Elephas maximus indicus: one gene and its partners. The main gene of each other region encodes a partner of the protein of the gene in region 2 in a complex. Links are inferred from orthologs where the notes say so. Each region holds a gene or a part of one and is shown on either strand. Other genes may lie near its edges. The genes, in order: E2F2, TFDP2, MYBL1 and E2F6.

Region 1 (7,307 bases), on a different chromosome or scaffold from region 2:
GACAAGGAAAGGAGAGCCAGGCAGGATCACCCCATCATCACCGGTTCCTGCAGGGATGACACTGAATAATGCAATGTGCCCAGCCAGAGCAGGCACTCAAAGAAGGTGTCTCCCCTGCCTCCCCAGAGGGTGGTGGAGTAAGAATTAGATGGGGAGCAAGGAGACCTGAAGTCTGGTTTTCCTTCTGCCACGGAACTTGGTTGCTGTCCCTGGAGGTCCCTTTAAACAGCAGCTCTCTGACAAATCCTGCTCACCCTGCACTTTGCAGTCTGGCCACAAAGCCAGCAGTCACACCCAGGGTTGGGTTTGGAGCCGCTCCAGGTCACACCCTTGTCAAATGAGTAAGCAAGGGGCCAAGGCCTGCCCATGAGGCTGAGGAGCCTGGGCTCTGGGCCTGATAGAGGTGCTCAGGCCCCAGTGGCAGCACCTTTGGGGTGGTCTCATGCAACGAGGATCTCCCACTTCTTGTGACTTGGGCAAGTAACTTCACGGCTCTGCTCAGCTTCCTCGTCTGCAAGATGCCTCATCCCCAGCATCTTGACTAAGACAATGAATGTGAGGAGTACCAAGCAGTGGCTGGCACACTCGAGGCGTTCGGTAAAAGAGCCATTCTTGCTGAGATCACTGAGGCCCTCTGGGAGGGATGGTGCAGACAGATGCACTGGGGCTCCTCTGGGAGGGAAGCAGCTCAAAACCACAGCTGTTACTGAAACTCCGCCTGGGTGTCAGAAAGCAGCTGGCCAGAGGAGAGGCTGGGCCCCACCACTGAGCCCCTTCCCTAGGGGAGGCCCAACTCTGAGGCTGGAAAATCTAGGGATAAGTCAATGTTGCATTGAGAAGAGACTACCTGTCACCTGTCTTGTGGGTCGAGAAACCTGAGGCCTGGTCCCCATTCCACCCTGTCCTCCTGTGTGGCCTTGGGCAGGTTACATGCCTTCTCTGAGCCTGTTCCCCTGTAACATGGAGCTACTAACAGCAACTACTTCACAGAGTACAAAAGGGGTTTATGCTATAAAATGCTGAATGCAAGAAAGCCACCTAGTCCCAGTTATCCTTGGTTTTGCTTGACCTGTAAAATAGGGATAATAGCACCTACCGCTGCCTCCTCCTCCCTCTTAGTTGGAATAAGGCTCAGGGAGTGACTCTGGACATGGGCAAAGCATGTTTCTGATGGCAGGAATAGGGACTCTGCCTGCATCTAGAGATGACTGGGAGCCTGTGCCTGCTGACTGACACAGGTGTGCCAGATGCCTTTGGAGGAAGGGAGTGGTCTTATCCTTGTACCTGAGCGTATTCACCACACCCTGGCTAAGCAAACCTGCAACACCCCCAGCTCCCCTCCCCATTCTGCTTACAAAACCCAGGACCTGGAGCTGGAAGTGACCCAAGATGATCTAGGCCCCCAGCTACCTGACAGACACACACATTTTCCAGATAAGGAGACTGAGAATCAGACGGGGCCTAGGCTTATCCAAGGCCACAAGTTAGTGGCACAGTCAGGACCAGAAACCAGGCTCCCCAACCACCACCTGCCCCCCAGGGCTTTTCCCACCCCTCCCCCACCCTATACTTGTTTCGATTCCCATGGGCTCCAGGAGCTCGCCTCCCACAAAACATGCCCTGTGCCGAGGTCAGCAGGCAGCCTGTGCCTCCACGCTTTGGGCCTCCCTGGCAACAGGCCTGGGGCTTGAGGAGGGAACAGCCAATCTCAACAGGAACCCCAAGTGCTACCCCTGATTTGCACCTGCTACTGGCAGTCTAGGAGGGAAGAATGAGCCTGGGGAAGGACCTAGGGCAGATACTTAGGAAGGAGTTTGCTGAATGGATAATTTCAAGTCTGTCCAAGGAAGACTGGACCCAAGACCTATCAGACCTGTGCTCTGTTTTAAAGTCCCCATGGTGTCCCCAGACCAAGCCCTGTGCATGGACAATAGCAGAGGCCCAGTACTGGTTTCTGGAGGAGACAATGAATGAAAGAATGAAGGAATGACGTTAGTGTTGGCTCCAGGGACTTCCCCAAGGTCACGCCATGTACTCGGGGCAGTAGGCTGGATCTCCAGACTCCCCATCCAGTGCTCATTCACTCTACTCCAATGGAGGAGGTTATTTCACCCAAAGTGTGAATATGAAGGGGCCTTCTACTCGGGTGTTGGGGGCAGTGGGTCGTTCTGGAGGCTGAACACAATCATCCTCCTCCCAAAACTCTGAGTCCCAAGCGCCCCTCCCTCCTTCCTACATCCAGAAAAGCATAGGGAGAAGGGGTGGGAATCCCCAGCATTACCGGCAGCCGGCCTGCGGGCACGCATCGCACAGCTTGGCCCTCTGGTCCGTGAGGGGTCGCGTCGAGGCAGGTGCCCGGTGCCGCGGTGGGAGGCACTGTCTGCTGGTACAACGAGGTGTAGTAGGTGGTGGTGGCCGGGCAGAGCTGGGGGCTGCCGAGTCCAGGCGGCCACAGCTCGGTGGGACTTATCGCGGGCAGTCCCTTTTGGGGTGGCCCGGCGGCCGGAGCCAGGGCCCGGGGCCCTCGCAGCATGGCGAGCGCAGCGCCCCCTCCTCACCCGAGCCTGGCGCGCCCGCGGGCACCTGCGGGCTCCAGAGCCCGCAGCAGCTTACACAGCCCGCGGCATGGCGCGGAGGCCGGGGAAAGCCGCCAATGGACGCCTGCGGGGCAAGGCCAGACCCTCCCCTCCTGGCCCGTGGCCGAGCCAAGCTGCGCTTGGAGATCGCCGCTTGGAGATCGCCCGGCGGCGGCGGCGGCGGTGGCACGGGCAGGGGCTGCCCCGCCCCGAAGGCGGCCGCGACCCGGGACGGCCCAGCGCCCCTGAGGCCTCGGCGCTGGGGGGCCGGCCTGTTCCGGGGAGGGGACTTGGGGCGCCCGCAGGCTCGGCGAAGACGCGATGCACTCGGATGGGGGTGGGGGGGCGATGGCACTGACTCTTCGGGCTCGCCCTCTAGTTCCCGAGCCTTTCTCTGCCTCTTTTTTTTCTTCTTCTTTTTTTTTTTTAGCGCCAAACTGCGTGCCGCGAAATTTGGATCTCCCGCGGAAAATGCCGCGCTTCGATTGGCTGCTGCAACAAGAGCAAGCTCCACCCCCCGGAAAGGACCTTTCTTCGAGGCGGCGATTGCAACACGAGCTTTGCTGCTTAAAGGGGCCGCCGCACCTGTTATCGCCTGGTGCCCGCCGGGGCTAGCAGCCCGAGAAGCTGAGACTGGGAGGGTACTCCCGGGACGTCGTACAAGGCAGAGACAGCCAGAGCAGGGAGAGCGCGCCGAGGAAAGGACCCGAATTCCCAGGGGCTGGGGGAAAGCATTTGGCACGGTGTCCTAACCTGAGCCCAGACCTACCAGTACGTTCCTCAGGCCACTACCTTTCGTTAGTTCGCACTAGCGTATATGCATTTATGCCCATTTCCCCACTAAAATGAAAGCCAGGACCCTGTACCTTTTCTCGGAGCCTAACATATCTCTTCATATTTCTCCATCTATGAGCGCCTACAGTATGCCAAGCACCTTGCTAGATCATTATGTATGTTGTTTAATTTGATTCAACAGTCCTGGGAAAAGGAGTGATGATCACCATCATAAAGATGGAACATCTGAGAGGCTAGGTAAATTGTCCAAGGTCATACAGCAAAATTTGCTGATTGGCAGAGCCGACAGTTGAATCTGGGACAGTCTGGCTCCAGAGCCCTTGTTTTTTCCAATAAGAGGTTCCTCCCCACCCACCCAGGCTGTGCCCTGCCCCTTGCAGACACAGGGGTCCAGAGTGCAGAGCCCTGTCTTGTTCACGGTTGTATTCCCAGGCCCAACACTAGGTAAATGTTCAGATTTCTCCTAAAACAATCCTTTTGTCACAAGAGCCTCCTCCCTCATTCAAAAGCCTTTATTGCTGATAACCAAAAAACCAAACCCACTGCCATCGAGTCGATTCCAACTCATATCATAGCGACCCTATAGGACAGAGTAGAACTGCCCCATAGAGTTTCCAAGGAGCACCTGGTGGATTTGAACTGCTGACCTCTTGGTTAGCAGCTGTAGCACTTAACCACTATGCCACCACGGTTTCCTTATTGCTGATAATCCAATAACATTTCTCATCTCTCTTTTTTAGGGATGCTGAGGCTTTTTTTTTTTTTTTTTTTTGAGGCTTAGAGAGATGATGGAGCTTGTAAGTGGCAGAGCTAGAAACTACTGCTGGATTCCAGGTCAGCTGATTCTTGCCTGGTGCCCTGTGATTTTTATGCAAGTCTAAGCCTGGCATTCAAGGCCCTCCAGAGTCCTTCCCCAGTTTAATAACTGGTCAGATTGTGAGAACAACGTAGCCAGAATGCATGATGAAGCTTAAGAACCCAAGCTTTAGAGCAAACAGCCCTGGGTTCAAACCCAGGCCCTGCCACTTACTAGCTGTGATCCCATGCTGGTTTTCTAGTCTCTGAGCCTTGTTTTTCTCATCTCTAGTAACACCCACCTCATAGGATTGTCGGGGAATCTCATGAGATAATGCATGTAAAGCTCTCAGCACAGAGCCTGGCTCCTAGGAAACCTGAGAAATGGCAGCTGTTATTCCATCTCTGGCCTTATCTCCACTACACAGACCCCTTCACTCCAGTCTACATATCTCACTGGTCTTTTAAGGCCCAGCTTAAATTGTACCTCCTTCAGGAAGTCTTCCCTGCCTGTCTGCCATCTCTCAGTCAGAGTGCTTCTGGCCCTCTCTGGAACTTTAGTATGTTCTACCTCATGTTCCAAGACTTTGTTTTCATCCCTTTTTTATCAGTTAGGTTCAAAGCCCTCTGTAGGGTCCAGGTCATATCCTTCTTTGGATACCTCTCAGCATCTAGGACCTGGCTTAGCATGCAAAATAAATATTGATGATATGATTCACTCATCTTCCCAGTAGAGAGTGGCAGATGTTAATGAGATCTGAAGTCCAAGTCAGAAGGCCCCAATTCAAGTCTCCACTCTCCACTTCCTAGCTGAGCAACCCAGGACAGGCAGCTGCTCCACCTCTCTTAACCTCAGGTTCCTCAACCATCAAATAGGGATAATACCATCAGTTTTGTTTTTTGTTTTTTTTAATTTCACAGAACTTCAGAGACACTATTGAAATGATGGTGGTGATTATGATTGCTAATGTTTGACAGCCTACTATGTGCTGGGTTCCAAGCACTTCACCTGGAGCATCAGCTCTGATCCTCACGACACCTCTCTGAGACAGGCACTATCATTATCCCCATTTTACAGATGAAGGAACCTGGAAGGAATTGTGGCAGAGCAGGTTTGGGGAAGAAGCAGGGCCCCAGGGCCAGGGAGGGAAATGGGGGTGGTAGGGTGGGGCTGAGAGGAGAGAAGCAAGCCAGCAAGGGAGCTGCGAGCCAGCTCTCTGCGGTTGAGTTTCGGGAGCTCGGGCTAGCTTTAGAGTTTCACTGCCTGGGAACTAATTCTTGCAAGAGGTGTGGGGCACACAGATCTGAAAGCTGTTTCCTTGAGTTTGAATTCCTGTCCCATCTATTCCTACAGTTGTGACCTTAGCCAAGTTACCTAATCTCTGTGAGCCTCAATTTTCTCATCTTTGAAATGGGGTGGCAAAAGTGACCTCTGGGATTACTAAACCAAAAAACCCGTTGTTGTCGAGTTGATTCAATCGAGTGTTAGATGTAAAATCCTTATGGGGTGCTGGGCATGTACCGTTGCCTTCAAGTCAGTTCCGACTCATGGTGACCCCATGTGTGTTAGAGTAGAACCATGCTCCATAGGGTTTTCAATGGCTGGTTTTTCAGAAGTAGCTTACCAGGCCTTTCTCCCAAGGCACCACTGGGTGGACTCCAACGTCCAACCTTTTGGTTAGCAGCCAAGCGCGTTAACCATGTGTACTACCCAGGGACTCTGGGGGGAGGTGTGCAGTTTGCATTTTGGTGTTAGTTGCTGTCAAGTCGATGTAACTCATGGCGACCCCATGTGTGCTGAGTAGAAGTGCTCCTTAGAGAGTTCAAACCTGTGACCACCCACAAGCAGATCGCCAGGCCTGTCTTCTAAGGCACCTCTGGGTGATTTCCAATTGCCTGTTGTCGTTGCTTTATGCCATTGTGTCAATTCTGACTCATAGCGACCCTACAGGACAGAGGAGAACTGCCCCATAGCATTTCCTAGGCTGGTTTTGTTTTAATCTTTATGGAAGGAGCCCTGGTGGCTCAGTGGTTAAGAGTTCGGCTGCTAACTAAAATGTTGGCTGTTCAAACCCACCAGCCGCTCCGTGGGAGAAAGATGTGGCAGTCTGCTTCCATAAAGATTTTAACCTTGAAAACCCCGTGGGGCAGTTCTGCTCTGTCATATGGGGTCGCTATGAGTTGGAATCGACTTGATGGTAATAGTAATCTTTACAGGAAAAGATCACCAGGTCTTTTCTCCAGTGGAGCAGTTGGTGGGTTCAAACCACTCACCTTGAGGTTAACAGCCAAGCACTTAACCGTTGTACCACCAGAGCTCTTCAGCTCTTGCCTAGTAGGTACTTAATGCATTTTAGCTAAGGTTTGTGTGATGGAGAGAAGAGGCCTTCACACTGAACCAGACTAAAATGCTTGTAGTCTTCCATACTTGCTCTATACTTTCCCGCCTCCCAAGCTTTGCTTACAAGGCTCCTTACCTGGGATACTCCTCCTCCCCTCCATCTCATGTGCCCCAATCTGGTCCACCCTTCAAGCCCAGCTCAAATGGTGGACTACCAAGAGCAAAGTCTGGAGTAGGACACTCAATAAAACTTCAAACCATTTTTTTACCTTTGTGCCCTCTTCCCCTGAGTCAATGATGATGACAACAGCTCACATTTCCTGAGCACTTCCTCGGGGTGAAGCACCTGGCTAAGCACTTTACATGCACTATTCTGTTGAAACCTCCTAACTATCCTTTAACATAGGTTCAATACGGACAGATGAAGAAACTGAGGTTCAAACATATGAAGGGACTTGACCAAGGAAGGGCTGGTTAAAGATGAAACTAGGATCTGAACCCAGATCTCCTAAGGCAATGGGCTATTTTGAACAAAGACCTCAGCCGCAGAGCCCCATGTGAAGGAGGGTAAGTTCTGCCAATGAACCGGGGGTTCCAGTGCTGTAGATGTTATTGGGGATGGAAAGAGCAGACCCCACAACCAGATGAGTTAGGGATGCTTAGCCCCATTTTACAGATAAGAAGTCATTAGGTGACTTCCCTGAAGCTGCACAGCTGGGAAGTGAGGAAGGCCCTGCTCCAGCCAGGCCCAAACTGCCCTAGAAAAGCCCCCAAACCAAACTTCCATTCCAGCTGGTGTA
Region 2 (8,120 bases):
CTTTAAGAAATGCAGAAAGTTATAAAGTGTATGAATAAATGTGCATTATACAAGAACACAGCACTTCTCTTTGTGTTACTGGTAAAAGGAAAAGGCTTTTACTTTATTCATTATGAATTCTACAAATTCAAAAACTTTTTTTTTTAATGTTGGCTGTTTTCGTGACATGCATATTGCCTGCAAATTCTCCCATCCTTCTCTTTGCAGCAGATAATCACTCTCCCCTTTTTCCATTAGCAAGGACCCTAAGCTTACTTATCTTTTGAGAGGCAAAACAGCAAGACAGCATTTCAATTAAACCCAAAATATTTCTTTCACATTTCTTATTCAAAGATCTTCTGGAATAAGTTTCATGCTTCTCATAGAAGATGAAATGACTTACCAATATACACAACTGATGTTTCACATTTTCAAATTCATTTTGAGCCTTCCTAACTATCACGAGATTACAAACTTTTACATTCTCTGAGTAGTCCCTAGATATTTTATAATGACTTAACTTTTGAAAAATACTCTCAATAACCTGATGCTCAATTTTTTTTTCCTTAAGTTAAATGGTCTAAAATAAAATATCCCACTTTTGCATTAATTACACACAATTTTTGAAGATGGGGGAAACAAAGTTTCTGCAATGGGTTGGTTATTCCAAATATGTTACTCTAATACTGATGTTCAAATCCTGAGTATAAAAAAAGAAATTTTAAAAGACTAAGCTTTGTTGATTCACTGATTAAGTCAGATTTATGACCTCCCCTCCCCATTCCAGCTACTGTGTTTTGAATGAAACAACCTCAATTGTAACAGAAGAAACATCTGTTGCTCTTTCTTCATCAGGGCTTTCCTGCCTGAAAGGAAGGCTCTCCCCCTGATCTCCCCCTTCCACTCCCCCCCCCCCACACCAAGTTCCTTAAAACTTGTTCTAAAGTAAATGTATTAAAATTATTTCAGATTGTGCTGGATCTATACAATGTCACCGTTGATCTAGAAAGATTCACTTTTTTAATTAAAGCGCATAGAATGGCTAAGTTCCATACACATCAAAAAACAAGAAAGGTGACCGATGTTCCATTGTCACTAAAATGCAGACTTGAAAAGTGTATACTTGAAGTGATCAACTCAATCAAGTTGTCACACATTCCCGGCTCACTCAGAACTGCTTAGAGTTTTTTCTTTACGGGATCCAGATGCATATAGAATCTTGCATGCTATATTTTCTTTGCCAGCCCAAAGCTAACATAATGGCAGTCACTGCCCCGAGAGGCAGACACCAAATGGTGCCACCCACACCCTCACACTGCCTCATAATAAACCATAAAGCAGTGGAATGCACCAGTCCCTTTATGAGCAAACAATGCCTGAGCTTCATTAGAATACAGCTGACATTTTCAAAGCACAAATAGTTTTAAGAAAAATGTTCTAGGTGGAAAAAAAAAAAGGCATGAAACAGCTATAAAATCTGAAATATTTTTCAAGTGTCAGGTTTATCCCTCAAGATCCCGAGGAAGCCTATTTGGCTGTTGACAATTTAAATTCTCCATAAAAAAAAAAAAAAATGTATAGTTAAGGGTAAAGTTTATTAACTGCTAGAAAGAAATGGAAGTAAAAATCATTTGAATTGCTTTCAGAAGTTAAAAATCACAAAGTACCTTTCAAATTATTCCCGTCCTCAAATGTTTCTGTAGCTCTTGAATGAAAAACACTGAACTCTAGAATTATTTTCACATTTTAATGAATTTAGGTAAGTAACTGAGTGATAAACTAACTCTACCCCTCCCCCCCAGCCCACCCCAACCCCCATGCCCTGTAGTTTCCCTGTCTGCAACAAGCAAGGACGTCTTGATTTCAGCGTGCTCTTAGCTATTTACCCATTTACCATTGCTGCTGTTTAAAGAACAGAAAGCAAACGCTGTAAAAACTCACCCAGCACTAAGAAACAAAATGCTCTCTCTTACCTGGTCTAAGGAAGCATGCCTCTCACTGCAGTACCAACAACACTCTACAGTCTTTGTTACCATTCAGTGGAAACTTGAGACTGTGTCAGACATAAGCAATCGAGCTCAGAAAAGATCCATTTAAAATACTCCTCAGTAAAAAGAAAAAAGATGCTCAAGAAAACTAGCTATTGGCTTTTAAAAGACCTCTAAATACTGCCTAACGTAACAAAGAGACTTCAAAAGAAACTGGAAACACAGGTCCTAAGAGACCGAAAGGGGCTTTTTTAAGGAGCCTTTCTATGTTGGACCTTGCTTTCTTACTAAAGTTCTTTTTTTTTTATTATGTTTAAAATAAAAGGGGTGAGATGGTGAAATGCCTAACTCCAAGCTAACGCTTCTCTAAAAAAATCACTTGAATTTAATCACTTGAATTTTAGCTGGCTAAAAAGTAAGATTAAACTTACTCGTGAAAGCTGAAAAATTCGAATTACACATTTCAGGGTATTTGCTGGCTCTGAAGCAGTCACGCAGCAGCAGATCTGAATGCATCTTGAAAGCAGAGCAAAAGCACCGAGAGTTACACGAATAAAAATGGGAAGAAACTCTTGAAAAGTTGGTCAAAGCTTTTTGAACCTGAAATAACTGTCCGGCTCTTCTGAGAGGGAGAGAGAGAGGAAAAAAAAAAAAAACCTGGTCCTGCCCCCTGAGATAGGAGGCTACGCTTCAATGCCAAAATGAATGACAGGCCCATTTCTGATATCAACAAAGAGCAGCTTAGTCGTGTGTGTGTGTGTGTCTGTGTCTGTGTCTGTGTGTGTCCGTGTCCATGTCTGTGTCTGTGTGTGTCTCTGTGTGTGTTTACTTTCTCACACAGTTAAAGGTTCTAAAATTTTCAGATTACTACCCTGCGCAGCGGTTAAGAGCTCAGCTGCTAACCAAAGGTCAGCAGTTCCAATCCACTAGCTGCTGCTCGGAAACCCTATAGGGCAGTTCTGTTCGGTCCTATAGGGTCACTGTGAGTCGGAATCAACTCGCCAGCAACGTTTTTTTTTCCCCCCTTTATTTATGTACGCTAAGTACCTTTTTCCATTTTCTCAAGAGAGCCCCAGTTAATGTCCCAGTTTTAAAAATGATTAATTAAAAATATGTACTTAATCATCTCAGTTTTTCTAGCCAGGAAGTGGAACCAAAGCTGACTTCTTCTGTTCCTTCCCAAATCTATTCTTTATAAAATCAGATAATCAAAAGACTAATTATCAATATCAGTAAGCTTTCCCTGCATCCTGGTCGTGGGCACAAGGAGAAACAAGAAGTAGGGAACAAACATTAAAAGGTAACCGAGATCATAAAATTTTTAACTAGCTAGATGTAAAAATAATGCCTATAATCATACAAATTCAAAACGATAAACACTTGGATCAATGGCATATATTTACTGAATGCCTTTTATGAGTCAAGCACTGTTTTGGGCTCTAGGGATATAGCAGTGAACACAACAGACAAAAGCCAAACAAAAACCCCTGACTTCAGTGGGCTTATTACCTTACGTCTCAGCTCCCTCTATGAACAGCGTTTCTAGTGAGTAAGGTACCTTTCCTTTTTTGATGAGTTACCACCTAATTGGAAAATGCAGCCCTGGAGGCTCAGTGGTTAAGAGCTCGGCTGCTAACCAAAAGGCTGCAGTTCGAATCCACCAGCTGTTCCTTTGAAACCCTATGGGGCAGTGCTACTCTGTCCTATAGGGTTGCTATGAGTCAGAATCAACTAGACAGCAATGGGTTTGGTTTAAATTTGAAAACAGCTTTCGGGGGCAAGGATTTTGAGCTTTGCTCAGTACTGTATATTCAATGTCTAAAACAGGACTGTTAGCTAAATAAATACACATTGAATGAAACAGATCAAAGAGAGCTTTTTCTTAATTAAACTTTTCTTTTGTAAATAGACTATGTACCGCTTTTTACACTTAGATGCATACAGAGATATAGCAACAATGATATAGTTTAGGGTCTAAATTAAAGTGGGCTATAAACATATTAAGGAGCCCTGGTGGCACAAACAGTTAAGTGGCTGCTAATCGAAAGGTTGACAGTTCAAACCCACCCAGCAGCTCCACGGGAGAAAGACCTGGAGATCTCCTTCCGCAAAGATTATAGTCAAAAAAAACCCTATGGGGCAGTTCTACTGTATTATAGTAAAAAAAAAAAAAACCTCTATGAGACAGTTGCTGAGTCGAAATCAGCTTGATAGCACCTAACAACAATAACAAATATATACTAGTTTAAACAAAATTAAAAATACCACCTATATGGCCCTGTACCTTTTCTGATTCTAAAATCCTTTTCCACTATCAGGCGTGAGATCACTGTAATATTTAAAGGAAAATTGGTTAAACTTCTACAAACTAAGTTTTTGTGAGCAGTCAAATTTTGGAAGACTTTTGAATAAAAAAAGAAACTTGGAAATTACACAGAATCCGCTCAATTTTGTGTATTAAAATATTTTATGTTTATATATAATTTTAAACGCCCCATCCTGCTTCTCACCATTCTTGATCTCCTACCAGCAGCCAGGTAGAGAAAAGAACTGCACACCTCTACCTGTCAGATGAGAAATGCTCGCCCATGTCACCCAAGACCAGGATATTCAGGGGCTAGCTATGGTCATGTCTACTTTGCTACTCTGTTAAAACAAAAGGAAATTAAACTTTCAGGTACCCAAGTACACTCACCATACTTTGGAGAGCTGGACAGCGATTACAAGTTCACACATTTAGTATTTGTTCTAACATAACCTTTCACGTAACATTTCAGGAAGAAATGAAATGACTGAGGTCAAGAGTCGTTAAATGGGTGGGGCCAAAGTAGGATTCCACTGTTCCCGTAGGAATAATTTTTCTTCTCTCTAACTACAAGCCAGAGTCCCTGGGTGGTGCAAACAACATGCTCAGGTGCTAACCAAAGGCTAGGAGGTTCAAGTCCACCAGAGGTGCTTTGGAGGCAAGGTCTAGCAATCTAATTCCAAAAAATTAGCCACTGAAAACCCTGTGGAACAACTGCCTCCTTTGCCATGAGACCCAGAACTGGATGGAGCTTGGCTGCCATTACTGAACATTTTGATCAAAGATTCTCTAGAAGAATCCTGATCAAAAGAGGGGAAATGTGGCACAGAATTTAAAATTCTCATGAAATCTAGGCTTTCTGGAGCCATGAAGCCTGGATGAACCCCTGAGATAATCTTTAAACCTTAAACCAAAAATATCCCCTTAAGTCTTTTTAAAACCAAACAATAGTTTAGCTTAAATAGTAAAGAATGCCTGCCTGAGCACTGTCCTCTTTGAAGATCTATCTATATGGGATCAAACTAAAAACAAGAACTTGAAAGATTAGATAGGAAACTTGGGGAGGCAGTGAGTTTGTATTAATGAGGGAGAAACAACTCAGAAAACGAGGGTGAGAACGGTTGTACAACTCAAAGAATAATCAGTGTCACTGAATTGTACATGTAGAAATTGTATGTTCTGCTGTGTATATTCTCAACAACAACAAAAAATAAAATAAATATAAAAAAAGAAAACCCTATAGATCACAGTTCTACACTGATATACACAGGGTCTCCATGAGTCGGAAGAGACTCAACGGCAACTGTTTTTTTAACCACCACTCATTCCTTCCTTCAACAGATACTTACGGAGCACCACTTACGTATCAGGCACTGAGACAGCAAACTGACCTGCTCCCTACTGCCTACTCTATAGATCTGACCCTCAGGCTATCTCTATCCCTCCACCTATTTCCGTTCTCCCTGCTTGCCTTCCTTCCTGATGACCCCTCTCCAGTCCCAAATTCTTCACTCACACTGCTGTTTCCTTGATATAGATCTCTCTGTATACATTTATACACTTTACTGGTTTTGCGTCTCTAGAGAACCCAGCCTAAGACACAACTCTAATTCATGTCATGTCAGATCCCACGTATGTTAGAGCAGAACTATGCTCCACAGGGTTTTCTTTTCTTTCTCTTTTGTTTTTTGCGCTATAGAGTTTTAATGGCTGAATTCTCAGAAGTAGATTGCCAGGCCTTTCTTCTGAGGCACCTCTGGGTGAATTTGAACCTCAGGCTCTCAACCGAGCATGTCAACCATTTGCACCAATAAGGGACTCCACTTTAAGCAACACATTCATTCCAACTATTGATTATCTCGAAAACACCAAACGTGCCTAGGCATTCTTTCCCCTGACTTTATAAGCTGAGTTATTTTGACTGGAGTTTGCTATGTGTTTTAGCAACATGAGCAAATATTAACAAAATATTCCTATAGGCAAAAATGACACTATGATAGCTTAATGAAGTTTTTTTTTTTTTTTTGCCCATAGTTGCTAAATATAACTATCTACCAGACCCATATGACGGAGCAGAAATCAGTGACGTCCTGCCTATACTTGCTAACATTTTCAAGGAAAATGTCTGATCTTCTTGATGAGCGCTATAACTAAGGCAATGAATTCCTATCACCACTTCCATGGATAAGACTTTGTTTCTCAAAAACATCACACAGTAAGTAACTTTGCTTTGCTCACTCCTCTTCTTCATTCTATGCTGTAAATGTAGACATTTTTCAAGGTTCTGTCCTTGATGCTCTTTTCTTCAAGATCTACACTCCCACTTCTATGACTTAACTATCACTTCTGTGTAGATGATTACAAAAAATTAAAGCTCTGGCCTTCTCTGTTCTGCTCTGCTCTAAACTCTTATTTTCAACGGCCTACTGCCCATCTCTACCCAGACATCCCACAATCTCAAATGCAACTTCTACACTATTCAATCCTTGGTCTACCTTCCCAAACCAGCTCATCCTCCTATGCTCTCCACCCTTGTTAAAGACATCATCATACAGAATTGAAAGCAATTTTCTATTCTTGCCTCTATTTCACCATCCAAATGCCCACACTGCTTCCAGTGTTTTTCTAAAACACATGTCATTCCCTTATGTCTTGGTTATTTAGTGCTGCTATAACAGAAAACCACAAGTGGATGGCTTTAACAAAGAGAAATGTATTTCTTCACAGTAAAGTAGGCTAAAAGTTCAAATTCGGGGTGTCGGCTCTAGGAGAAGGCTTTCTTTTTCTGTCAGCCTTCTCATCAGTCTTCCTCCGGACTAGGAGCTTCTCTGAGCAGAGACCCCAGGTTCAAAGGACGCGCTCTGCTTCCAGCACTACTTTCTTGGTGGTATAAGGTCCCGCTGTCTCTCTTCTTGCTTCTCTCTTTTATATCTCAAGAGATTGCCTCAAGACACAATCCAATCTTGTAGATTGAGCCCTGCCTCACTAACACAACTGCCGTCCATCCTCCCTCATTAACATCACAGAAGCGGGATTTACAACGTACAGGAAAATCACACAATACAGGGAATCATGGCCCTGCCAAATTGATACACACATTTTTGAGGCGACACAATTCAATCCATGACACTTTGGTTTAAAAACAAATGAGAAAAGAAATATAACTTCTGATGGCTTCCCAGTGTCTAGAGCTGTGCTATTCAAAATGGCAGACTTAGCCACATGTGGCTATTTAATATGATTAAAATTGCATAAAGCTTAATTTTTCAAGGACTTCTTGGAAGATGGCAGCATGAGTAGGTTCATGATTCTGGATACCTCCTTGCCATGATCACCAAGGGAAGCAATTAAAAAGCCAAAACCAAACCCATTGCCGTCAAGTCGATTCTGACTCATAGCAACCCTATAGGACTCTGTAAACTCAACTATATAAGAACTCTGAAAAGCTAATGGAGGGTTAAAGAAAATAAGCACAAGTGGAAACAAGAGGAAGGGAGCTTTAAAAAAAAATGATTTATATTTTTGGTTGTTGAAAATATATACAGCAGAACATACACTGATTCAATAATTTTTACATGTACAATTCAGTAACCTCAATCACATTCAAGTTGTGCGACCATTCTTACCCTCCCTTTCTGAAATGTTCCTCCCCCACTAACGTAAACTCACTGCCCCTAAGCTTCCTATCTAACCTTTCCAGTTGCTATTTTCAATTTGATCTCATATAAATAGTTCTTTAACAGAGCACAAAGCACAAGGCAGACATTCTTTACTAATTAAGCTAAATTGTTATTTGGTTAAAGATGATTCCAGGGAATATTTTTGGCTTAAGTTTTAAAGATTATTTC
Region 3 (8,087 bases), on a different chromosome or scaffold from region 2:
ACTGTACCTTCTGCTTCCTCATTTGGAGCTTCCAGATCCCACTGGAAAATTCAGGTCCCACTTCTGTATCCTTCTGTGTATAGTTTCTGGGCCGTGGGCACCTTATGCTGTTTTATACATCAGTATGCTCCTAATTTCTCTCTTCCAGAAATACATTAATACAGGTCCATTGATGTTCCTTCTGTTCCACCTATAGCTATTTTGGGTTCATTCCCCTTTCTGCATTTGTAATAACATGAGTTTGGGATGGAGAATAAACCCATTAACCCATTGCTGTTGAGTTGATTCTGACTCACGGTGACCCTATAGGACAGAGTAGAACTGCCCCATATGGTTTCCAAGGAGCACCAGGTGGATTTGAACTGCCAGCCTTTTGGTTAGCAGCAGTAGTTCTTAACCCCTACACCACCAGGTATGGAGAATAGGTAATCACATATGCTCAATCCACCATCTTGAACCAAAAGCCCAGGACTTAAATTTGTAATGAAATTACACAGGGTAATTTCAGGACTTGTTGTCTCCTCTAGGTGGCGCCATCATTTTGTAAACTGAAGACATTTTAACTTCAAAGGAAGCGTAGTGTTTTTGCTTTTTGCCGAAGAAGCAAGGCTAAAAAATATAAGCAAAAACCATTCTTTATCTTTCATTCATTCACTGAATGTGTAAAAACAAAGGACAAATTAAATAGGGAGATGACATTCAAAGAATGGACTATAGGCCTGTCCTTTAGAGATACTGATATGGCTACTACTGAGAGAGACAGTCCTCCTTGGCCCTCTTGCAGTCCTACACACATCTTGCTGGGTGTGCCAAGATTCCAAGACCCTGACCACTCTTTTGCCCAGGATATTTCTCAGGATTATTTTTGCAGCTGGTAAACTTGAGAGATGAGGTAGCATCTCCTTGTTGCGAAAGAACAGCAAGCCCGCTTGCTGCTTGCTATAAAAGCAGTAGATTCTCCATGCTCAGTGTTTTCTAAGCTGTAGCACAAACCCACTGTGTACACAGCATGTGTATGGCCCATCACATTACCCCATGAATGAGGGATCCTCATGTATATTAGTGTAATAGGAAGGATTTAGGCACACAGCATAGGGGATCCCTCATTCTTAGATGAAAAGAAATACTGTTTAGTATTAATCTTATCACTCAGTTCAGTTTAACAAAGTTATTGAACACCTACTCAATTGACATTGGTACTATAGAGATAAATGAACTCATAGTCTGTTAGGTTAAGAGAATGAATAAGAGAAGAACAGATTATACTGAAATGTGATAAATGCATCAGCAGAGATATATTCCAGGAACAGAGGTAGAAGATAATGATTAATGGAATCTTTAGGGAGTGGTAGAGGGAGGATTTAGGGAGGTTTTCCAGAGAGGGTAACATCTGAGTTGGGTCTTGATGAGTAAACAGAAATTTTACAGACAAAGAAGAGCATACTTGACAGAGGATAAATATGTGCAAAAGCACAGAGGCATGGAAAGCATGATGTGTACAAAAAATTCAAGTATATTACATGAATTGACCAAGATCACATAGAAAGTTTCAGCTGTCCTGATTCTTGATCAGGTGTTTATTCTGTTGCATTATATAGTTGTAAACTCTTGTATAAGTATTTGAAGTTACTTGTTACTTTATCCTTTATGTTTGTTGTCAAAAGCAGTTCCAGGTGTAGCACCTCAACCCATTACCAGTAAAAATCATCATTCTGGCTTCTAAATTACTATCATATTTCTCAAATAAGTTAATTTTTATAGGTACAACTAGCTAAGAGATGGTTAACTTAGGAAAATAATAGCAGAGTCACATTTGAACCTAGATCTCTAAACTGAGACCCAGTACCAACTTAAAACAAAAATTGCACATGAAAATGCACTTAAAAATAAGGTGCAGGTAAATAAGTGACATACTCATAATTACTCTAATACCTGTAAAGTATTATGCCTTAGATTAACTAGAACCTCCTCCTCTCCTAAGCATCTTGAGTTCAGATCTTTCTACTAGGCTATCTCATTTCCAATTTTATATTCTAGTAATACTAAACCACTTTAGCCTTAGTTTCCTCATCTGTAAGATGGGAATTCTATTAGTAACATAGATGAGATAATGTATGTTCAATACTTAACATAGTGCAACTTAGTGTGTAGCTGCTTATCAGATAATAGTTTTTATGAGGCTGGGTGATAGGTGTAGGACCAAATCATCAAGTTACCTTATTGTCATATTAAGGACTTTATCCTGTAGGCAATGGGAAGCCAATGAAAGCTATGTTTTGTTTTAATATGACAGCTTAATATTGAGCTATAGTTCACATACCATACAGTTCACCCATTTCAAGTGTACAACTCAATGGTTTTTAGTATATTCACAGTTGTGCAACAATCACAATTAATTTTAGAACATTTTCATCACCCCCAAAAGAAACCCATAACCATTAGCAATCACTCCTATTTCCTCCCAACCCTTCCCCTCAGTTCTAGGTAACCACTACTCTGTTTGCTTTTAAAAGCTGGGCAGAAAAAAACAGATTTATGTTTTAAAAGATCCTTCAGGTGGCCGTATGGAGGATGTATTGGACTGGACAAAACTAGAGGCTGGAAAATCAGTTAAAAGACTTCCTGTAGCTGAGTGAGAGATGAGAGCTTGCACTGGCAGTAGGGATGGAGAGGAGAGGCTAATGGAAAGAGAATAAATAAAAAGGTGAATCCTGTTCTTACAAAGAGGTTGAATTTTGGGATTTTAGCTCTTGCAGGTGGAGAGAGATCTAGTTCAGGAGGGAGGTTGGGGCTGGAAGTAAAGATCTGCTGAATCCTGTGCTTACAGGATATGATTGAAACCACAGGAGTGGGTGAGATTCCTTAGGACAGTGTGAAGTGAGAACAGAGCTAAAAACTGAATACTGAATACTGGGGAATGCCAACCTTGAAGGAGCAGGCAGAGCTGGGGGCTTGCAAAGTGGTTTGAGGGATGTATAGAATGGACATCATGGAGGTGATGTCACAGAAACTGAGATGAAGTTTCAATTAAAAGGCAGTAATCGAGTCAAATGCAGTAGAAAGGGCAGGTAAGATGAGGATTTATTTCTTCAAGTGTCCATTGGATTTAACAGGGTTTTTTTTTTTTTGCTTCTATTCAGTTATTAACATAAAATGTCTTTCAAAGGCTATGTACATCCTTATGACTTTTGCTTGATATTGCTTTCCAAAAGGATTATATCAGTTTTCAGTAACACCCCCACCGAGAAATTATTAAAATCTTTTTCGCATGGTTTAGAACAATTTAGTATTTACAAAGTGTTATTTCAAATCTATTTTAATTTTTTTTTTGCCAACTTGTGACCATGAATATTTAAGTGCTTGCTTATTTTTGCCCTTTTTCATTCATTCATTCTACAGATACAGTATTTTATTGAGCAAAATCTTGCTGTGTCACTATTCCAGGGGCTGTGTGGATCTAGCAGGGAATAAAACAGACAAAAAAAAAAAAAAAATCCCCGTATGAGAATGGTTGATACAACTCTATTAAAAGCACAATCTTTTAGGCACTTTTCAGACTAGTATAAGCAAACTTTTTGAGTATCTGGCCTTTGACTGGGGGAGGATGAGAAGAGGGACAGCTGTCTGAAAGATGACCATGGTGCATTTTTCTTGGGAAGCAATTTACTTAGAGATGTGGAGTATGAAAGTGAATTAGTAAAGCAGTTTTTAATGTTTTTATAATAAAAACATGAATATATTTATCATGGAATAGAATGCAAAATTTTACATGAGTTTTTAAAGATAGATTTCAAAGAAGTTTTCAACACTTGCTCCCAGACACTTCCTCCCCCTCCTGCTCCCCTTAGTATTCAATCCTCTCTACCTTGAGGGCAGGTACTTCACTGGACAAACTTGAGAAGCATTAACTATCCAAAACCAGCCTGGTTTATGATAGAGTATGTAAATTCAAATGACTTACCACTTTAGTTCCACACTTTGTCTTTAGTTTTATGACTAATTTATTTTGCCATGTTCTATCTTCCCGAGGAAAATTTTTTTCCTGCCTGTAAAATGAGAGGGATTTATTTTACTGTCAAAATTTCAAACGCCTGCCTTCAAGTTCTAAAAATTTATTTTGTGTAAAACTGACTATATCCTAAAATACGGCAGAAGCTCTGCTGTTAGAATATAAATGACGGAGTAGTGTATGACTAGGAATAAATAAGAAAACACTGACTCCAAATGACATTGCTTTCTAAATTAGGTGTTTTTGTTTTGTTTTTTAAAGTGGACCACCAACACAGGAATGATTTACAAGAAAAGCTTCTTTACCTTCCCAGAACCCCTACCTTGAGAAAAAGGAACTATAAGAAGGCAGGTGTTTTGACAGTAACTTGCATGCAAGCTCCTCTTAATTCACATTTGCACCTGCATCTCCGATTTGCAAAAGATGACGCGTGAAATGTCAAAATAGCAAAATGCCAGTTAATGTTACAATATTAATATGTGGTTCAGTGCTCTATGCAGTAGAGCATGTTGCCTTGCAAATTTGGATCCTTGGCCATTTCTGATCGTTAATATAGTTAATCTACTTGATTTGAGCAATTCGTAGCTACTGAACTTGGAACCTCTGCTAGAAGTTTCTCTAATGCAGCTCCTTTCCCTCTGTCTCTTGCGGAAGGACGGTCACTTGTTGACTACCGTACTCATCAGGCAAAGCTACTCTGAATCTGGGCGAGATTCCCAGCGCACTGCTGTCTCCCTGCATGTTCCTCCCGGTCTAGGGCTCCTCCACGATGCACACCGAATAACTCCTGTACAGCGGGGTTGGAGATTAAGCACTTTAAAGACCAGCCGCAGATGAATTACTTCCCTTTCCCGTTCTAAACACGTTTCCTGATGAAAACCTTTTTTCACCTGTCCCACTCCTGCCATGTTGGGGGGAAAAAATAGGTGAAATTCGGTTTCCTGCCACAATCTTCGCCACTCCCGTAACTATGATGTCTGGGCAAAGACAGCTTAAATGTTTGCTTAAAAAATAACGGCCGCGTAGGTTTATGGTCAGATTCATCTCAAGTCTGAAGACTTCACCTCCTATTGAGCTGGGATACACCCAAGGAGGGAAGAACGGAGACGGAGAAGCGGCTGCAAAGAGGTACACCGGCCCACCCGCGGGGCCGCCCGCCCGGGCAGTTGGCGGCGGCTGGGGCTGACGCGCCCCGGCTTCCGACTCAGCCCTCGGCGAGCGCAGGAACTCGCTTTCCCAGCGGGCCGCGCGCGGCCCTCGAGGGCCCGCCCCCTCGCGTTGCTGCGCTGGGCGCGCTCCGGTTCCTGTCACAGCGCGGCCCGCGCGCCCCTCGCGGCCCCACCCCCAGCTCCCGGCTCCTGCCCCGACTCCCGCGAGTTCCAGTCCCAGTTTCCAGCTCCCCTCCCCGCCCTCAGTCGCGCGCGCTCTCCCCGCCCCACCCTTCCCCCTCCCCCCGGCTGCGGCCGCCACAGCCAATGAGGTTCGGGGCCGCGTGCGCAGATTCAAACGGCGGCTCTTGAGGGAGGCTGGGCGCGAGATTCGGCGGTGCGGACAAAACCCTGCAGGAGGCTGCGAGCCCTGCAGAGCTGCTCGCTGCGGGGCGGGGCGGGGCGGGGGTCGTCGCCCTCTGCGGAGCCGCGCTGGGACTACAGCGAGGAGGCTGAAGGGCGGCGGAGGGACAGGCAGAGGGCGAGAGCGCGCCTCCTGATATGTCGGGGCATCCCTGACCGGGCAGGGCTGGGCTAGGAGCGGGGCTGCGGGTCCGGGCGGGTCGCGGTCCGCCCTTCTGTCCCTCCGTCCTGCCCTGCGGGGACGTGCGTTCCGCGCTCGGCAGCTCCGGGGAGGGTGCGAGGGAAGTTAGCGGGAAGGTCGGGGAGAAGGAGCATTCGCCTGAGGCTGGAGGAGGCTGAACTGCGTCTCCGCCCAGCCCGCGCCTATGCGGTACTTGAAGGATGGCGAAGAGGTCGCGCAGGTGGGTGACATCCCCTTTGCCCAGGCCTGGCGGCGCCATCTGGCTTAGATTCCCTCTCCCGTCCCCCCGTCCCTCCCCGGGCTCTCCCCAGCCGGGGTAGAGTTTGCCTGCCCGTTGCCCCACAGCCGCTGCGGCCCCTCTGTGGGGAGGCCCCCGCGGCGTGTGGAGAGTTGGGGACCACTGTGATTAAAACACAGAAATGGAGTAACAGCTGCCCAGGTTGCTCCTTTGAGCTGATCCTCCCCGCAGCGCGCGTCCAGCCCCCTAACTGCTCAGAGCCATTTCTCGGTGGGAAAGGGTTTCTGGCCAGGTAAGTCTGCGCGCTTTCAGGGGACAGCTACGCAGATACAAACGGCAGTGTCCTGCCTGGAGGACTGGAACACGGGGCTCAGAGGGACTCTCTTTTCTGAATCACTGTACCCGTTAACTAGGAACTTCTTGATAAACCTGGGCGGGGACCCCACTCTCAACTTGGCTACCTTGAAAGGTATGGAAAATTCTCCGAGGAATAGCTGAAGAGAAAGTACCTTTCTCCTGTTTTCTGTAATCATTCGTACCCATGCTCTCAGCTTATGTATATTTTAAAATATTTTCTACTGGGAGGATGTCACATCGTTACTATCAGTAGCTTGTGCTTAAAATAAAACAATGTATTTCACTCACGTAATATTTTGAGTGTCCGTGTTTGGTTCTGACTGTACCTATGTGTTGCACAGAGATAGGGCACATTTTTTTTGTTGTTGGAAAATGCTAGGATAAATTTATACATCTAATTTTTATCTGTGTATGACTATAGTAAACAAAAACAAAAGCCAATTACTATAGCAGCTACTTCTAAATTGTGTGGAGTAACCACTTAAATGATGGAAACAGAAGAACCCTGGGTGTTTTTTAATTTGCAGTATCATGTAAACCTGAAAAGATGTTTGGCATAATTTCACAATGTTTTTATTTATCTAGATCCACAGCCTTCTTAACTAGAGATGTGTTTCTTCAGCCGAAATTTATCACTTGGATTCATTTACTGAAGATTCTTAAAAACTCAAAATTGGAAGTAACTACACATATTGTGCTTTATTCATTTGTTAAGCACCAAGTATGCACAAGGAGCCCTGGTGGTGCATGGTTAAGAGCTCGTTTGCTAACCAAAAGGCTGGCAGTTCAAATCCATGAGCTGCTCCTTGGAAGCCCAACTCTGTGTTACTCCAACCTACAGGGTCTGGATATGAGTCGGAATCGACTTGATGGCAGTGGGTTTGGTTTAGGTTCTAGTATGCACAAAATATTTTGCAGAAATCAACATAAACTGTAAACTAAGTCCTTGTTTATTATTTTGTAGCAACTACAGTATAGGGCAGACCCTTGAGCTGGAACAAATGTATACACACACATACACATGAAAAACCCACTTATCCAGAGCAGGATTTTCAGCCTTACTGCTATTGACATTTTGGATGAAATGACTCTTTGTCCTCGGGGGCTGTTCTCCGCATTGTAAGATTCTTAACAGCATCCCTGGCCTCTACTCAGTAAATAAATGCCAGTAACAAAAAATGTCTCCAAGACATTGCCAAATGACCCTTGAGGAACAAAATCACCTCTGGTTTAGAATCCACTGTTCTAGAACTTCAAGGACCCAGTTAACCTCTTGATCTTCAGAAAAGAGATTTTAAAAGGTCCTGTAATGATGATTACTGAAGTACTGGTTTAGGCCTTTTCATTTGAACTTTTAAATACAAACAATTCGTAAATAAAGTAACTTCATTAAGCAGGGTGACAAGTGAAAATTTATGTCAACTCAAAAGTTTTTATCTTCAGTGTGTGGCATTATCTACCTATTAGTATTGTTGTTGATTTTTCTTGGCTAATGCTGTTCCCAGCACTTAAAGTTATGGTTAGACACGGATGTTTGAATGTCAGAACCCTCTCCTCCCTAACCGGTTCTCTGTCCATTTTATAATCACATATGTTGTTTTCTGTTACTGACAATTCTGTGAGCTTTGAAACCTAAACATATATTGCACTGTTGATTTTAATTCTTTGTCAGCTACATATATTAAAACATAGAGTGATTTGAAGAGTCCTAAGTCTGCAGTAATGTGGTGG
Region 4 (7,716 bases), on a different chromosome or scaffold from region 2:
GCTCCAAATCACACATCTAAAGGCCTTATTCTTCTATTCTGAGATCTCAGAGGCTAGCACGCTGTCCCTTGTCCCTATTACTTCTGGCCGAAGCCTGAAATGACCTCAGACGCTTCTTCCAAGGTGGAATAAGAGAATAAAAGATGAATCTCAGGGACTAAAATACGAAGCGATGCCTCAAAATTGGTTATACATTTCTCTTCACAAATGCCTCTTTCCCAATTCTCTGTTCTGGGTGGTAACATTCCTTCGAGAGCTTTTTGGAAACGCACCTTTCTCTGAGGTGACTGCGCTCTCCTCACTTACTCAGGCAACACCAAACACTAAAAAACCCTACAGGACAGAACAGAACTGCCCTATAGGGTTTCCAAGGAGCAGCTGGTGGAGTCGAACTGCTGACCTTTTGGTTAGCAGCCGAGCTCTTAACCACTGTGAAACCAGGGCTCCACCAAACACTCAGCAGTATACATAATCATCTCAGACAAAGAAAACAGCACATGTGATGACCTGGGGGTTAAGAAAGGATATGGAAAACTTTAGTGACTATAAGCAGTTCAGGATGGCTGAAAAGATAAACCCAGGAGCCACATTTCATTAAGGAGATTCTATTCTATTCTGAGAGCACTACGCAATCATGACAGATTCTTTAAACAAAATGACATGATCAGAAATATACTTTACAAAGATCATTATGGTTACTATGTGGAGAACATATGAGAAAGTGGGAGGCATGACTGGAAACAGGAAAACACTGCAATAATCTAAAAAAACAGGTAATGGTTAGAAGTGGTGAGTATTGCTGGTTAATTTTAATTGGATTGGGAGGATGAAGGGGGTCAGTTTGGAGATGGGAGACGGTAAGGATGATGCCTAAGATACTGGCTTGGGCAATACGGTGGGTGTGGTACTATTTACCAAGATAGAAGGTAAGCAAAAGCCCTGAAAAACACCAACATTTAATGAATGGGAAGGGGAAGATGAGTTTGCAAAGGAGCACAATGGAAGCCAGACAGGTAGATGGAGCACCAAGAATATGCGGTGTCAGAGAAGCTCAGTGGAGAGACTTTGGAACAAGAGAGAGTAGTTAATTGTGTGAAAGTTACAGGAGACGAGTGAAACATCTAATCAGAGTTAACAAGATGGATGATGAGCTTGGTTCCAACCCTTCAGAGGTGTGGGCAGGGCAGAAGTCCCAGAGCAGTGGGTTGAAGAGTTAATGAGAGGTGGGGAAGCGGACAAAGTGAGTGCAAACAACTATTTTAAGAAGCTTGTCTGTGAAGGGGAAGACATACAGCAGATGAAAGGGGATATAAAATTAAGGGACAGTCTTTTAAGACAAGGATCAGTTAAGCAGTCAAGAATTTATCATCTGGAGTCAGATATTCTGAGGTTAAATCAGGGCTCATTAGCTATCTTACCAGCTATCTAACCATGGGCAGATCACCTAACATCTCCAAATCTGTTTCGGCAACCATAAAACAAGAATAAGGAGCCCTGGTGAAGCTGTGGTCAATAGCTGGCTGCTAACCAAAAGGTTAGCAGTTCGAATCCACCAGCTGATCCTTGGAAACCCTATGGGGCAGTTCTACTTTGTCCCATGAAAAAAAAAAAATTTTTTTTTCAGTTCTACTTTGTCCCATAGAGCAGCTATAAGTCGGAATCAACTAGATATATCGCAGTAGGTCTGGTAACACACACGTTTAAGTGCTCGGCTGCTAAGCAAAAGGTTGGCTGTTAGAACCTACCCATCGGCTCCACGGGAGAAAAGACCTGGCGATCTGTTTCTGTAAAGATTACAGCTTGGGAAACCCTATGGGGCAGTTCTACTCTGCCCTATCGGGTCACTGTGAGTCTGAAAGAACTCCACAGCACACACCACTACAGAAAAAAAAGAATAATACTGTAACAGTGCCTATCTCTTAGGATTGCTGTGAGCAATTAAATGAGATAATATTCATAAACCATTTGACATGAAAACCGGGCATCTGACTGTTCAGTAATTGTTTAGCTATCACAAGTTACAGAAAGAAGCCAGCAGAGAAACTGAAAATATCGACCGAAATAGAAAATGACGGGTCCATCAATGTGCCCTGAGAACCCCAGAGAATAGAACTTCCAGTCTAGAACAAGAATAGACGAAATAAGGCTTCTGCAGAGAGGGAGCCAAATCTCCCTTCTGCTTTCTCTGTGAAACAGGACAGAAGCTAATTTACTGAATGGAGAGCTGTAGGGTGGGAAATGTGAGATGTGGACAAGGATTTAAACCTCTGCATTTAAGCGGGAGAATGCGAGAAGACGCTGAAGAGAAAAACAAATCTGCAGAGATGTACTGAACGGCCAGTTTAGGTAGACAAGCATGCATTTACCGTGCGAGGCTGAGCAGTTTTCTCTAAAAGTGCTCTGGAGCCCCGAGGGAAGAGCCAAAAAAGCTGACAACACATGTAGGAGCAAATAAGCCAGTCTGGTTCACAGTCCGTGATGGGCAGTGGGAGAGCCGGGAAGACGGAGGGGAAGCCCTGGGGGAGCTCATAATACAGACGACGGCCAGCCCGGCTCTCCTCCCAGAGAGGGCCCGGTGCCCGAGACCCTCCACCCCACGGTCCCGTGGCTTACCAAAAGGCCCTCCACGTTAATCGGGTCTCGGCAGCGGCGGCGAATGGTCTCCTCCGCCGGGTTCACGAGGAGGCTGGGCAATTTCCTCGGTGCCCGCTGCTGACTCATGCTGCCGAGCCGAGCAGCCATTCGCCCCTCGCACCCTGCGCACTCTCCCGCCTTCTCCCGCTCTGATCGAGCTACGCCTCCAACACACGGCTTTCCGGGGGCTCAGCGCGAACCAGATCCTGCGACTCCTCCGAGGCGCCGCCTGTCTAGGCCGCCCTACACACAGGAGCGTCACTACCCCCACGAACTTCAGCGTCGCTAACACAGAAGGGAGGAAAGGAAGGTGACCCACTACTGTTCAAGATGTCAGGCCCGCCATGTTCCCGCATGCGCGGTGCGCCGCCCCCTTTGCGCATGTCTGCCGCTGCCGCTGCCGCTGCCGCTGCCGCTACCGCAGCGCTCCCACGCACTTATCTATTCCCAGCGGCGGGCTGGCCGGAGCGCGGGAAATCCCGGACGGCGGATCCTTCGGAGAGGGTGGCGAAGGAAAGGAAGAGGTGGGGCAGGAACTCCAGAGGTAGGGAACCGGGATGAGAGAAAAGAAAGCAAACATGTTGCCCGTCCAGTCGATTCCTACTCACAGCGACCCCACAGGACAGAGTAGAACTGCCCCGTAGGGTTTCCAAGGCTGTAATTTTTTAGGGAAGCCGACTGCCATATCTTTCTCCCGTGGAGCAGCCCGTGGGTTTGAACTGCCGACCTTTCAATTAGCAGCCAGAGCTTAAACCACTGCACCAGCAGGACTCCTCCAGAGAAAAGAGACACCCGGGAAAACGCCACTGTGGTCTCAGAATTACTGACATTAATAAGTAAACCTGAGCACGCAGGGATGCTACTTTATTCTTGTAGTTCCCTCTGCACATCACAGGCTCTTGCCCATAGCTGATGCTTAGTAAATGTTGGCAACCAAACCACTGCGCAATTGTTTCCTTAGATGCTTCTGTCTCTCCTTCCTCTTTTCCTCTTATGAGTAATTGTTGATTACCTATTGTGTCAGGTGTTTGCTGGACACAGGAGATACACATTTGAGTTTGGCATAGACTTGATCCAAGATCAGAGAAACAAATACATTTTTATATTATGGTCACATGTCACTTCCCTTCTAACCCGCCAATGACAAATTCCTCAGCATAGCACACAAGGGCTTCACAATGTGGCTCCCAGGGACCCCTTAAGTAAGCCTCACCTGGAGTGTCTCTCTCCCTTACACACCGAGGTCCGGTCTGATTTTTCAGTTTCAGAATAGGGACGATACTCTCTTACTTTTGGATCTTTGTACATCTTACTTTCTCTGCCTGGAATCAATAATTTCCCGTTTTTACTGGTCCTAGCTGACTCAACTTAGCCATCACTTTCTTCAGAAAACTACTTCTTTTTCCCCATTCCCCTAGTCTTTGTTTGATTTTCCATATTTGTTCCTCTCCCCCTCTCCTAGCCCTCAACTAGTATCCTGCGCATATTTCTTTTTTTAACCAGTTGCCAGTTTAGTCAATTCCCACTCATGACAATCCTAAGGTGTGTCAGAGTAGAACTGCGGTTTTCAATGGCTGATTTTTCAGAATTAGGTATTTCTTCCAAGGACGTCTGGGTGGACTCGAACCTCTCCAACCTTTCAATTAGCAGCAAGCACTTAACCATTTACACCACGCAGGGACTCCATGCATGTTTCTAACCTGGCTCTTATCAAAGTATTTTGAAATTGTACGATGGGGCAGTAATTGTCTTCTCTACTGTTCGGACTTCAAGTCTTGCGGCCTCCTTGTTCCAATGGAGAACTGTCGGAATAAGGCCTGAGAACATGCACACACACACACACACACACACACACACACACACACACACACAAAGTTTTAAACTCGAAGGATAAGATTCAATGAGAGATTGAAGACCTTTCATGATTAGGCTGAATCAATTTCCTTTACTCCAGTCAGAATAAATGTTTTCTTATCTGGTGACAAGAAGAAAGTTGGAAAAGGAAACAATAGAGATGTGAGAATGAGGACCCTGAACCTGCTCCCTTGTACCCAGTCCCAAGAGGGTGGGGGACATGAGCAGGTAAGTTTGAGGACCTCAGAGCAGACAGCATACTCAGGTGAGGCCCAGGGAGGTGGCAGGTCTCACTGGGAAGTCCTGTATGACCATGGCACAGACACCACGGTAGATGAAGTAGCAATGGCAGTGTGGTACTCAGGGCATGAGATGCCCAGAGACCATCTCAGCATTTCCTGCAGTCCCTGATGGGTAGAGGAAGTGTTATGGGTTGAGTTATATCCCCTAACCCTAAATATGTTGCAGCCCCACCCATGTATCTATCAATGTGACTGCACGTGGAAATGAGTATGAGGAGTAGGAGGAGTAGGAGGAGTAGGAGTAGTAGGAGGAGTAGGAGTAGTAGGAGGAGTAGAAGTAGGAGCAGTAGGAGGAGTAGGGGTAGTAGGAGTAGTATTAGGAGGACGAGGAGGAGTAGGAGTAAGAGTAGTAGTAGTATGAGTAGTATTAGTATCAGTAGGAGGAGGAGGAGGAAGAGTAGTAGTAATAGGAGGAGTAGTGATAATGATAATAGACATTTATCCAGCATCTACTACGTGTTTGGCATTCTGATAAATGTTCTGCACACATTTTCTCATGAAACTCTCGTGTCACAACTGAAAGATATGTGTCTTTCTGCCCAATTTGTAGATCAGGAAAATGAGGATTAACAAGTCCTGGCTAGGTAGCGGTAGAGCCAGAATTTGAATTCCACGGCTGATTAATTAATTTGGTATGCTTATCCTTGAGAGGATTCTGACTAGTTGGGGGATTCTACAGTCAGAGATGGGGTCAGGTGAGTGAGGTGGGTGTGGGTCCGGATAGGGGTGGCAGGCACTCCAGGCTGAAGAAATGGCATGAGAACAGCTGTGGAGAGTCAGGGACTTGTTTGGGACACACCTCCAGGCACTGACAGCACCTATCAGCTTTACCCTGAGAATCACTCACACATGTCACACACTTGCATCTGTCTTAGCCTGGGTTCTCTAGAGAAGCAAAACCAGTAAAGCATATAAATATATAATATATATGTAGAGAGATTTATATTAAGGAAGTGGGGCTCATGCGGTTTTAAAGGCTGGAACATCCCAAGTCCGTGGGTCAGGCTGGAGGCTTCTCCTGAGTCACATAGCCACGGGGGCTGGCAAACCCAAGATTGGCAAACTTGGCTCTGGCTCACAGGCTGCGAAGACTGATGAATTTCAAGATCAGTGGGCAAGACAGCAGATAAACTGCTAGCTCACGTCTCAAGAACTAGAGGTCAGATGAACAGGAGCAAGATCCAGAGCGAGCAAAAGCCTGTGGGCCTTGCCAGAAAATCCACCTATTTTGGATGCAGGCCACACCCCCAAGGAAACTCCCTTCCAACTGACTGGCTACTCACAGCAGATCCTATCATGGAGGTGATCCTATTATATCAAATCTCATCATGGAAGTGACTCCATCATCCTATGACTGCCAGACTGCATCATAACTGCCAAACCACTGAGAATCATGGCCCAGCCAAGCTGACACACAACCTTAACTGCCACAGCATCTGTCATGTGCCTGGCAGTAGGTTAGGTGTTGAGGGTACAACTAAATCTGACAGGGACCTTATGTTGTGTTCCAGGGGCACCCAGCCTGGTGGAGACACATAACCTGGAAGTGTAAGAACTAAATTACAACGCGCATAACATGCTGTGGGAGCACAGAGAAGAAATAAATGAAATTGAATTTTGTATAGCTTGCAAGTGCCTTCTCACACAACTGCCTGTGAAGAAGATATTCTTATAAAAGATCCGTGGGTGGTGCAGAAGATTTTTGCTTGACTACTAACCTATAGTACGTTGACAAAGAGCTGCCTGAAATTCAGGCTGGATTCAGAAGAAGACATGGAATGAGGGACATCATTGCTGATGTCAGATGGGCCCTGGCTGAAGCAGAGAATACCAGAAAGATGCTTTCCTGTGTTTTATTGACTATGCAAAGGTATTCAACTGTGTGGATCATAACAAGTTATGGATAACGTTGCAAAGAATGGGAATTCCAGAATACTTAATTTTGCCCATAAGGAACCTGTACTTAGACCAACAAGCAGTTGTTCGAACAGAACAAGGGGATACTGCAGGGTTTAGAGTCAGGAAAGGTGTGTGTCAGGGCTGTATTCTTTCACCATACCTATTCAATCTGTATGCTGAGCAAATAATCTGAAAGATGGCCTATTTTGAAGAAGAACGTGGTGTCAGGATTGGAGGAAGGCTCATTAACAACCTGCGTTATGCAGATGACACAACCTTGCTTGCTGAAAGTGAAGAGGACTTGAAGCACTTAGTAATGAAGATCAAAGACCACAGCCTTCAGTATGGATTATACCTCAACGTAAAGAAAACAAATATCCTCACAACTGGACCAATAAGCAACATCATGATAAATGGAGAAAATATTGAAGTTGTCAAGGATTTCATTTTACTTGGATTCACAATCAATGCCCATGGATGCAGCAGTCAAGAAATCAAATGATGCGTTCCATTTGGGCAAATCTGCTACAAAAGACCTCTTTAAAGTGTTAAAAAGCAAAGATGTCACTTTAAGGACTAAAGCGTGCCTGACCCAAGCCATGGTGTTTTTAATCACTTCATATGAATGTGAAAGTTGGGCAATGAATAAGGAAGACAGAAGAAGAATTGATGTCTTTGAATTATGGTGTTGGAGAAGGATGTTGAATACACCATGGACTGCCAGAAGAACAAATAAATCTGTCTTGGAAAAAGTACTGTCAGAATGCACTTTAGAAGTGAGGATGGTGAAACTTTGTCTCACATACTTCAGACATGTTATCAGGAGGGACCAGTCCCTGGAGAAGAGCACCATGCTTGGTAGAGTAGAGGGTCAGTGAAAAAGAGGAAGACCTCAATGAGATGGATTGACACAGTGGCTGAACAATGGGCTCAAGCAGGGTGGCAGAGGACCGGGCAGTGTTTTGTTCTGTTGTGCATAGCGTTGCTATGAGTCAGAAGCAACTCAACAGCACCTAATAACAACACA

The links.
Region 1: TFDP2 (region 2) and E2F2 share a complex: the UniProt entries of both Homo sapiens proteins name them as parts of the DRTF1/E2F transcription factor complex. The link is inferred for Elephas maximus indicus from reciprocal best matches to the Homo sapiens genes TFDP2 and E2F2.
Region 3: TFDP2 (region 2) and MYBL1 share a complex: the UniProt entries of both Homo sapiens proteins name them as parts of the DREAM complex. The link is inferred for Elephas maximus indicus from reciprocal best matches to the Homo sapiens genes TFDP2 and MYBL1.
Region 4: TFDP2 (region 2) and E2F6 share a complex: the UniProt entries of both Homo sapiens proteins name them as parts of the DRTF1/E2F transcription factor complex. The link is inferred for Elephas maximus indicus from reciprocal best matches to the Homo sapiens genes TFDP2 and E2F6.

The regions. Positions count from the first base shown.
Region 1 is NC_064821.1:63,970,209-63,977,515, forward strand, and holds the start of E2F2 (transcription factor E2F2), read right to left. Parts: upstream 3,037-7,307; 5' UTR 2,534-3,036; coding exon 2,282-2,533; intron 1-2,281. UniProt on the Homo sapiens protein: Transcription activator that binds DNA cooperatively with DP proteins through the E2 recognition site, 5'-TTTC[CG]CGC-3' found in the promoter region of a number of genes whose products are involved in cell cycle regulation or in DNA replication.
Region 2 is NC_064841.1:17,687,370-17,695,489, reverse strand, and holds the start of TFDP2 (transcription factor Dp-2), read right to left. Parts: upstream 3,197-8,120; 5' UTR 2,484-3,196; coding exon 2,399-2,483; intron 2,096-2,398; exon of another isoform or gene 1,953-2,095; intron 1-1,952. UniProt on the Homo sapiens protein: Can stimulate E2F-dependent transcription.
Region 3 is NC_064833.1:75,973,369-75,981,455, forward strand, and holds the start of MYBL1 (myb-related protein A), read left to right. Parts: upstream 1-5,036; 5' UTR 5,037-5,039; coding exon 5,040-5,137; intron 5,138-5,651; exon of another isoform or gene 5,652-5,961; coding exon of another isoform or gene 5,962-5,981; intron 5,982-8,087. UniProt on the Homo sapiens protein: Transcription factor that specifically recognizes the sequence 5'-YAAC[GT]G-3'.
Region 4 is NC_064830.1:26,135,129-26,142,844, forward strand, and holds the start of E2F6 (transcription factor E2F6), read right to left. Parts: upstream 3,038-7,716; 5' UTR 2,743-3,037; coding exon 2,614-2,742; intron 1-2,613. UniProt on the Homo sapiens protein: Inhibitor of E2F-dependent transcription. Binds DNA cooperatively with DP proteins through the E2 recognition site, 5'-TTTC[CG]CGC-3'. Has a preference for the 5'-TTTCCCGC-3' E2F recognition site.